Linked DNA regions of Caenorhabditis elegans. The gene in region 1 interacts genetically with each later gene. Each region holds a gene or a part of one and is shown on either strand. Other genes may lie near its edges.

The links.
Region 2: of daf-8 (region 1) and sgt-1, changing one enhances a phenotype caused by changing the other (phenotypic enhancement), as found in Caenorhabditis elegans (one study listed by BioGRID).

What each region holds. Positions count from the first base shown.
Region 1 is NC_003279.8:8,583,610-8,589,015, reverse strand, and holds daf-8 (Smad protein daf-8), read left to right. Parts: upstream 1-1,508; 5' UTR 1,509-1,526; coding exon 1,527-1,619; intron 1,620-2,179; coding exon 2,180-2,656; intron 2,657-2,853; coding exon 2,854-3,053; intron 3,054-3,257; coding exon 3,258-3,650; intron 3,651-3,773; coding exon 3,774-4,057; intron 4,058-4,266; coding exon 4,267-4,460; 3' UTR 4,461-4,592; downstream 4,593-5,406. UniProt on the Caenorhabditis elegans protein: Probably a receptor-regulated SMAD (R-SMAD) that is an intracellular signal transducer and transcriptional modulator activated by TGF-beta-like daf-7 signaling.
Region 2 is NC_003280.10:4,901,683-4,905,862, forward strand, and holds sgt-1 (SGTA homodimerization domain-containing protein), read right to left. Parts: upstream 2,115-4,180; 5' UTR 2,112-2,114; coding exon 1,955-2,111; intron 1,902-1,954; coding exon 1,213-1,901; intron 1,082-1,212; coding exon 914-1,081; 3' UTR 606-913; downstream 1-605. Other genes in the region: R05F9.9 (MSP domain-containing protein), read right to left, coding at 1-124, 208-291, 343-417; btbd-10 (BTB domain-containing protein), read left to right, coding at 3,377-3,527, 3,586-3,704, 4,175-4,180.

The DNA.
Region 1 (5,406 bases):
AATCATGATATCTCAAAGGATGTTGTTTACTTCAACTTTTGAAAGGATTTTATAGATAAATTGTTATGATTATTTACTTGTTTTGTTTCTTCCTCCAGTATTTAATCTGTGGTCACTTCGTGGTCTTCAAGGCTTTAGGTTCAGCTCATTTTGGTTGTTTAATAGTAAGTCATATGATACGAAGATTCACAGAATGATTTGATAATAATAATAATACGAAATCTCTTTTTCTATAATATTCTCAGAATGTCATACTTCTATAGAATTTATAAATACATTATTACTGTTTTGAAAACCTTTTTTTCCTAATCTATTCGCCGTCAATTTGGCGTTCTTCTAACATTCAGTATTCGAAATCAATGTTCAAAATTTGCTTAGAGAACACCCCAAAATTAGGTTCCGTCCATATCTTGGCTTTTTTCGCCGCCAGATTCAGAAAAAAACTGATTTTCTGTGAGTTCTATTCTATTTTTTTAATTTCTTAAACAATTGGAAATGGTACAGTGTGTTATAAAATAGTTTATTTATTCTGGTTCCTCATGAGAGCACCTCAATAAAAAGTAGTGACGTACATCCATCTGAAACAAAAATAACAATATGACGCCTTCTTAGTAGTACTTATGTTAGTTTCTATTAATGGACTTTTTTTTAAAATAAAAACTCAAAATAGTCAAAGAAATTCTAAAAATGGACATTTGCTAAAATTTAAGAGAAACGATTTCAAAAGATGAAATTATACTTTCCTCCCAACTTTTTTGCTTTTGATAAATTGCTGGCCGAGTTATAACTATTTCTAGGTCACGTATCAGAAGCCGGGTGAGTCTTGAGATCTTCGTGATGCCTTGTCATATCTAAATGAACGAAACTTGAATAAATTAATTAGGAGTCATCGGCTTCATTGAGTTCAGAAAAATTCTGTATAAAACAAAATCAAGATTCAGGTAAATATCTAGATTTTCGATCATTTTGGAACCGCGTTCCTGATATCGAAAAAACTTCGAATCCATTTAAAAGTTGAATAAATCAAATGAAAACTTCCTCTCATTTTTCTTCATTTCTCTCTCTATTTTTCCTTGATTTTATAGGTGATGACGATTCTGATCAACACAAAAATCTTATCACAAACTGTTGTTTCTTATCATTTTTTACACGTTCATACCAGTTTTCATTCCGAGTTCTTGAATTTCATAATTCTTTCATTTCGCCTTTCTATGTAGATATTGAAACTCCGCCCATTTGAGTAGCTCACCTGACTCTTATGACTTACCAGAAGGTTCTATTATCATTTTGGATATAATTCTGTTTTCTGATTCAAATTTTTTTTGAATTTCGGCAATGCACAACGAAAAATATTAATTTCATATATAAAATCATCTGTACTATTTATTATTCTTTATCCCAAATCAGTCCTTTTTTGTGGTCGTTGCTTTTTAAGCTCGGCCCATTTTTTTGGATTTTATTCTAGCCTAACATCTCCTCCCATATTTTTTTTAATTCTTCGAAATTTCAGTTTTAAAACTACGAAAATGGACGATTTTCCTTCACCAGAACCTACTGATCCCAGACTTGAGGCAATGGCTCAAAAAGTGTTAGAAGAAACTATTATCACTGAAGGAGATGTATGTTTTTGAAGATTTGAAACTTTTTTTTTGAATTTTCAACACAAATAGTCTCGCTGGCTACTTTTAAAAATTAAAAAGCCATCTGCAAATTTTAAATTTCATATTCTAGGCCAGCCGGCGAGCAAGTAAGTGAACAAGAAACTTTAAAAAAGAGCAGAGTTGAGAGATACCGTATCTTGATCAAACATCAAATGTCCAGACATATTAGCGAATTTTTATTTTAAAATATTTAGAATCAACCTACATAAACATTAACTTATACGTTTTCTAATTTTAGAATGTGTCTCTCAAATTAGCCTTTTCTTTTAAAACAGGAAACAATTTTTTTTCAAAAATAGTAATACTTAAAGAAACTGAAAGGATATTTACGACAAAAGGTTTTAATGTATGTTGGAGACTCGAAAAGATCCAAAAAAAAAATAAAGAGAAAATTACAGGAAAAGAGAAAAGCCCATATCTTGTTTTTTAAATTTTGTTATAGTAAACTTTTCCTAAGAAATTCAAATCCTTAAAATTGCCCTATTTGAAGTGTCAAGCTATCCTCAACTATTTTTTAGGGAACAATCTACTGGGCTCTCAAAGTTACCCGATTACTCTCTAGAGTAGCTAAAAAACACCAGTGCTTTGAAGCTTTCTACGATGCCGTTATTAAAGGTGATCCAAAAACACGATGCTGTCCTGCACACAATGAGAAACTCATTGGAAACTTTGGACGAGCTATCATGTGTGTCTTGAGAGCATTCAGATTTCCGGTTATTCGATATGAATCTCAAGTGAAATCAATATTAACGTGTCGACATGCATTCAATTCCCATAGTCGGAATGTTTGTCTGAATCCGTATCATTATCGATGGGTTGAACTACCGACGTGCCAAGTTCCACCAATTATTGTAAATAAGGAATTGGATTACGGTGAACCTCCGATTCGGACTGAGGATGCACTGGATGATTGGAATCAAAAGGATTTGAAAGAGGAACAGGTGGTTGCAAGTTGGGATGTGCCAAATGTGACGATGAGAGGAGATGAAATTAAGGTTTGTTGAGAGATGATATCCCTTTTTGAACTCTTTCCAAAATGCAAAATCCAGTAAATAAGTTGCAATTAATCTTTTTTTTTCTTTAGAAATTTTGGAAATTTGCAAACTTACCAAAAACGTTGACTGAAATATTTGCACGTATTTCTACAAAACATCCACTGTCACCCCCTCACATTCAAAAATAAAAATTTCAGCTTCTCTATGATCGATATGCAGCTGAAAACGGAGATTTTCAATATATGAATTACGGAAATTTTGGCTCTTTTGATGGAAGTCCGTGTAGCTCTACCACGATGTCATTAGGATCATCTTTCGCATCGTTACTGCAACAAAGTAATCGACAAGACGACGAGGAACCCGGATATTATAGATCTGGACTCTCATCTCCAGCTAGGTACGAATTTCACTTTTTTGGAATTTTTTTGTTTTTACAATACTGATTCAACAATCTAAAGAACTGGCTAAACTGAAAGTAGAATTCGAAATTCGACCTAAAGGTTGAAAAAAAAATTAAATTTGGCGGTCGGGCCGACGAAACTGTTGAATATTGGAAAAAATTGAAATATTAGTTTAGATCTATAAAACTTTAAATTTACAGTCATGCAGCTTCTCCTCGAGAGTTTATTCCAAACGGAAATGATACAATAAGTCTGGATCAAGAAATGATGGATGATTCCGAAGTTAGTGACATCATGCATTCCGAGAATTTTTCATCAGAGAACAATGGAAACCGAAAGCCAACGTATGCAGATGGACGGCCTATCACACCAATTGAACCTCGACCACTCTATCGATCTTCGGCATTAGAACTTGGAGATCTGTCACGACAGGCTGGAATATATGAATGTGTAGAATATGAAGAGTCGCCGAGTTGGCTGAAATTAATTTATTATGAAGAAGGAACGATGATTGGAGAGAAAGCCGATGTAGAAGGGCATCACTGCCTGATCGATGGATTTACAGCTAGTCGCACTGACTCAGAAACCAGAAGGTTTGTATCATTGACAGAAGCCCTGGTCTAGAACTTACACGCATCTGAATTTTAACTACATTCACTAGTGTACACTGAACTAAAACATAAATTCAAGTAAATATCAAAATAACATCATTACAGCCGTTTCTCGCTTGGTTGGTACAACAATCCAAACCGCTCTCCACAAACGGCCGAAGTTCGTGGTCTCATTGGAAAGGGTGTTCGATTTTACTTGTTAGCTGGTGAAGTCTATGTAGAGAATTTGTGCAATATTCCTGTTTTTGTACAGTCAATCGGTGCAAATATGAAGAATGGTTTCCAATTGAATACTGTATCAAAGTTGCCTCCAACTGGAACTATGAAAGTTTTTGACATGAGATTATTCTCCAAACAGCTGAGAACAGCAGCTGAGAAGACATATCAAGGTGAGAGTGAATTAGTAATTTCTATTATATCATATTACTTTTCGTCCAAAGTACGGCTATTGTGCGATATATCAAAATTGTCAACTAAAAATAATTTATAAAAAGTTTTTGACATTTTTTGGTGTATAGTTTTTACCGATGCAACTTTCGGAGAATACGAATTCTCAAACCTTCTAGTCAGCTACATTTTTTTTCTTCCAACATTTCAGACGTCTACTGTCTCTCACGAATGTGCACAGTTCGTGTTTCGTTCTGCAAAGGTTGGGGAGAACACTATCGTCGTTCAACCGTCCTCCGATCGCCTGTTTGGTTTCAGGCTCATTTGAATAATCCGATGCATTGGGTCGATAGTGTACTCACTTGTATGGGAGCTCCACCACGTATATGTTCATCCAGAACTTAGCTTCTTTCTTTGCCAAAATCCTAATCTCCAATTTGCGTGTGATCAATTTTGTTGATAGAGAAAGGTTTTTATTTTACTCTAAAACATCAAAACGAGTTTTAAAATTTTTTATTTAAAAATTTAGATTTTAAACTTTTTCTGTGTATTTTTACATTGTTTTTGAGGGCTTTAGAACTGCTCGAGATTTCTTTTTGCAGCTTTTAAACGACTTATGTCAACTTTAAAAGTGTTTACAGTAGCCAAATATTCTAGAATCCTTGGAAATGTAATTTTGGTCTGATTTTTTCCGATCGAGCTTGATGGATTAAATTTAATATTATCAAAAAAAAAAACACTTTCAAAAAGCTGCCAGGATATTCACTTAAATATAAACCCCCTAAAATCCTTGGAAATCATCAAAATAGTTATCCGAGCAGTTTTACGTCCGTCGAAAGTAGTGCACAGTTACGCTTAAAATGTTTCAGATCGAAATTTTATTTATCCAGAAAGTGGCTTAGAGTTTTACAGTGATCTGTTTTCAATAAGTAATTTAGTATTTAAAAAAAGTTTCGTTTTGATATTGGAGCGTGAAATCAAAACCTTTTCTTGCGAGAGTGGAGCACTTTACTTGTGAAAGGATCGGTTGAAAGGAGGAGGTTCTAAGAATTGTAGATCTAAATCAAACGTAGGCGGCAATTGCCAAATTTGCCACGTTATTTGGAAGAATTTTCTGAAATTGAGTACTTCAAACTGATTTTAGACAAAAAAATCCCTAAATTTGTTCGGTATTTATGTGGGAATTTATCTTAAAATTGTCAATTTTGCCCATGAAATGATTAGATAATTGTTTGCCACCCACGCCTGATCTGAATCCTCCACAAGTAAAACTCCAATAACCTCAGGTTTCATTAATTGTCCTTTTCCCCATTTCTCTCTTTCATCTCTTCATTCCGTTCATTTTCGTGCA
Region 2 (4,180 bases), on another chromosome or scaffold:
GTTCTGGATGTTTCGCACTATGATCTTTAATTGAAACACTTTCAACTTGTGATAATGGAATTCCAATATTCAATGGTTCCTGGCTGTCATCAATCGAAAGTCGAATACGGAAGCAGATTTTTTCCTAAAAAAAATTAAATTTATTTGATCATTTTTAGAGTTTTTAAAACACAATAATGCTCGTCACGCAATAAATTTTCTACTTACAGCTGAATTGACTCGAAACGTCAGTGAAGAATTAGGGAGAAGTGGTAGAGGAACGTCACCGAGAAGAATTTGTTTCGGGTACATCTGAAAATAACTTTTAAAAGAATTTAGATTGACAGAAAATTAAATTCCTACATAATTTCTATACGTTGGATCCAGATTACGACATTGTTCAGTTATGAAAAATCGAATCCTTTCGTGGCGTTGCATTCTGAATTTATTTTCAAATTTGAGGTTTTTTACAATTTAAATTGTTTAATTTAATACTAAAATATTTCAACAAAAAAATCAAAAATAAAGAAAATGTGAGTACTCCCGCGCTATCTTTCGTTTGGGTGCAAATCGATAATTTCGTGTTGGAGCGCGTTTGCAACCAGTGTGTCTGTGATGGAAAGAATATTTCGACAATATTTATTATTCGTGAAAAAAAAGAAAATTGACCCAATTTTTTGTTGGTAGTTAAAACATGACCATCTAATTAAAAACAATATTTCGATAAGGCTTGAATCGGGGGCGATTATAACATCATCATTGTAAGGGGAAATTCTGCGAGAGAAACTAAAAAAAACGAGTAACCATAAGCGACTTCGGCTTTTTCAAATCACATGAGAGCAGAAAGTAAAGACGAGAGAAGGGGAAAGAGAGAGAGAGAGAGATAACGAAATGGAAATTCGTGATGCGGAAGGAGATTGGCGGAAGAGATTATCTATTGTGGTGGGTTTGGTGGTGGTGCTCCTCCATCGGCTCCGGGGCCGAATTGGCGTCGAAGATTTTCAATAAGTTCTGGATTGGTCTCTTGCATGCGAGCAGCCATTTGCTGGCCAGCAGCCATCAAATCAGCGATTGATCCATTTCCAGACATCATGTTGTTGAACTGAAAAATTCAATATTTTAGAGCATACATCATCAAAAAACAAGCAATAATAATGAAAAACAATTAATTTTGACGGCCACGTGCATTGCCATTTCAATTAAATCTTTTATTCCCGAAAATTTGATACTTACCATATCAGAAAGTGCTGGATCGCTCATCATCTGTGAAGCAGCTTGCATAAGTCCTGGCTCGTTCATAAGGTTTTGCATGTTTGGCATTCCTGGCATAGCCGGCATTCCTCCCGGTCCTCCTCCCATGGCTCCCAAAAGCCCAGCCAATGGATTGGCACCTGGTGCCGGTCGCGAGCTTTCCAGCTCCTTCAATTTGTCTTCAGCAATTTTCAAATTATTCTTGTAACTCTCTTGATTTGGTTCAAGCTCCAAAGCCTTCTTGTATGCCTCAGCGGCATGCTCATATCTGTTTTGGCAAGAATATGCAAGACCCATTCTTCCCCAAGCTTTTGAGTAAGATGGATCAAGGGCAAGAGCTGTACGACAATCTTGGATGGCCAAATCATATTGTTCCAGGCGGCAATAAGCAGCAGCGCGGTTACAGAAGTAGACTGGATCTCTGTTGAGCTTGATGGCGGCATTGTACTTTTGAACAGCAGCTTCAAATTGGGAGGCTTTCATTAAATCGTTTCCTTCTTCTTTAAGCTTGTTAGCTTGAGAAATATCACTATCGCTCGGTGTTGGAAGAGCAGATTCTCCCTCTGGAAGTCCTTCGGCGCTCTTGAAAAGTTCGAGAATTGGGCGTGATGGTTGGAAAGCGTATGAGGCATCATCAAGACCAAACGAGTGTTCGAGACATTGAATTGCAACTGAAATTTTAATATATCTTAAGCTAAATTTATAGAAATAAATAGGAAAAAACCTTCAAGAGCTTCCGCTTGCTCGGCAGTGGCCTGATTTTGTGAAACCTTCTGGCGGATAAACTGAAGGAATGAGACAACCAAATTTTGCTCGTCTCTGGTCACAATTGGCGAAGCAGTCGGCGCATCTGGAGCAGAAGGCTTGATCTCCTCGGACATTTTCTTAAAAATAAAAATATATTTATTAAATAATTTTATATTGAAGTTAGAAAAGTAATATAAAGTTGAATTGAAAATCCATGATAAAGCGCAGATTAAAATATTCTTAAAAATATATAGTTCAAGAAATAGAAAATGGCATCGCTTAAAAATGGCATTCCGTGATTATTTTCACTCGGGAATCGCTCGCCCACTATGGGGGAGTCTACGCAAGGACAACGCAAGGACAAGGACAACATTCTAATGGAATGGAAACGATTGCCCGACTGCACCAATTCTAGTTCGAGCGAACAATGATAACTTTTGTATTCTATATTCCTTCACGTCTCCCAGCGAGCGTAATAAATTATTATTATTATTAAAAAAAAAGAGTATTAATTTTAAATGCTTAACTTAAAATCTGAATTTAAGCGCTCTATTTGCGAAATTTGGTCAATGAAGAGTGAAATATTGTAACGAGAATAAAATTGAAAAGTTTTTGAACAACGAAGAGTAAAATTAAAGATTGCAACGTCATTTTATTTCAGAATCAGTGCAAAAATTTCTGGAAATTGCGGGAATAATTTCATCAGCCTCAAAGGCACATGTCGGCCGTCACTTTGATGTGTCTCGCCACGAAAGTAAACCAAGTTCAACTGAAGAGACGGCAGACAACTTGACAGAAAAGTTGCAGCAGCGCGTAGAGTGTATTGTAAAGTTGAGAGAGTGCTAGAGAAAAAAAAAGAAGCGAGAAGCTGACTGGTGGCCCCAGGTCTCCTTCCAAAAGCCACTCATTTCCCTCTGTCGACACCCGTCAACTTAAATTTTTTGGGGCCAGAGACGTCTGGGTACCAAAAGTTTTATTTCAAGCTTGTTTTATTCGTTTTTGTTTCAAAAAAAAAGTGTGATAGTCAGGAGAACGCTGCTGTGAAATTTGTTGTTTCTGTAAAAAATGAAAAAAACAAATTGAAATCAAGCAAATTTTAATTTATTTGTTCGCAAAGTCCTTTTTCACTATGTTCCAAGCTTTCTTTTACCCAAATTTTCCGTTCGAAATGTGTTTTTTAAATGAAAACTTGTTCAAATTTGCGGAATTTTGAAAATACTTGTATTTGAATAATATTTACCCAGCCATTCTGCCTGTCATTCTTATTTTATACTGTTCAACTCCTCCCAAACTTTCACTATCTGTTTCCTAAATAAATAAAACTATATAAAATTTCGCACATTTTCAGTAATTAAACTGTCACTCTTATCATCTTCTTCGTCTTCCACCATTCTACAACATGTCTCAATCGGAAGAACAGAACAAAGACATTCCATCATCTTCAAATTTTGGAAACCCAGCAAATAATGGCGTTAATGTGCCAGATGCTCCTGCGCGACGACTCTTCGATAACACTTCTGACGAATCTGATGTTTCACTGGATAATGATGGTAAGAATTCGAATTTTTCATTCAGATTGAATAAAAATCAATAATTTATTTTTTTCAGACAAAACCGGGGCTGAAACTGACGGTTCCTCTTCAAGTCGTGGATGTCTGAAGAGCGAGAGATCTCGCAAAGATCATGCCAGCACGTCATCAACAAGAACTGTTCGTGCACCACAGCAGGTAATATATTTGTTTTTTTAATAAAAATTATCAAAAAAAAACGATATGAAGACATAAAAACCATGAAAAGTCGATAAAAATACCACAAAAGTTTTAAGTTACAGTAATTTTTAAAGGCGCACACCCGTAAATGCGGTTCTCGGTATCGACACGACAGTGTTTCGTAGATAACAAACAAGTGTGCGCCTTTAAAAAGTACAGTATTTTCAATCTCTCGCTCCTGCAGAATTTTTTATCAATTTTTTCTACTTTTTCTCACGATTCGTTAATATTTATGTGTTTATATTGTTATTTTTGGTATAAGAAACATTTTTTCGCAAAAAAACTATGAAATAAATTAACTTTAAAGCGCACACTTGTTCGTATTTCACAGAAATGTATTTTTGAGGAAAAATTGCAAACTAAAATTAAAAATTTCCGCTTTTCACCGCAATAATTCTAAAAATAGCCTCTAAATCTCATTTTTCCAGGTTTCT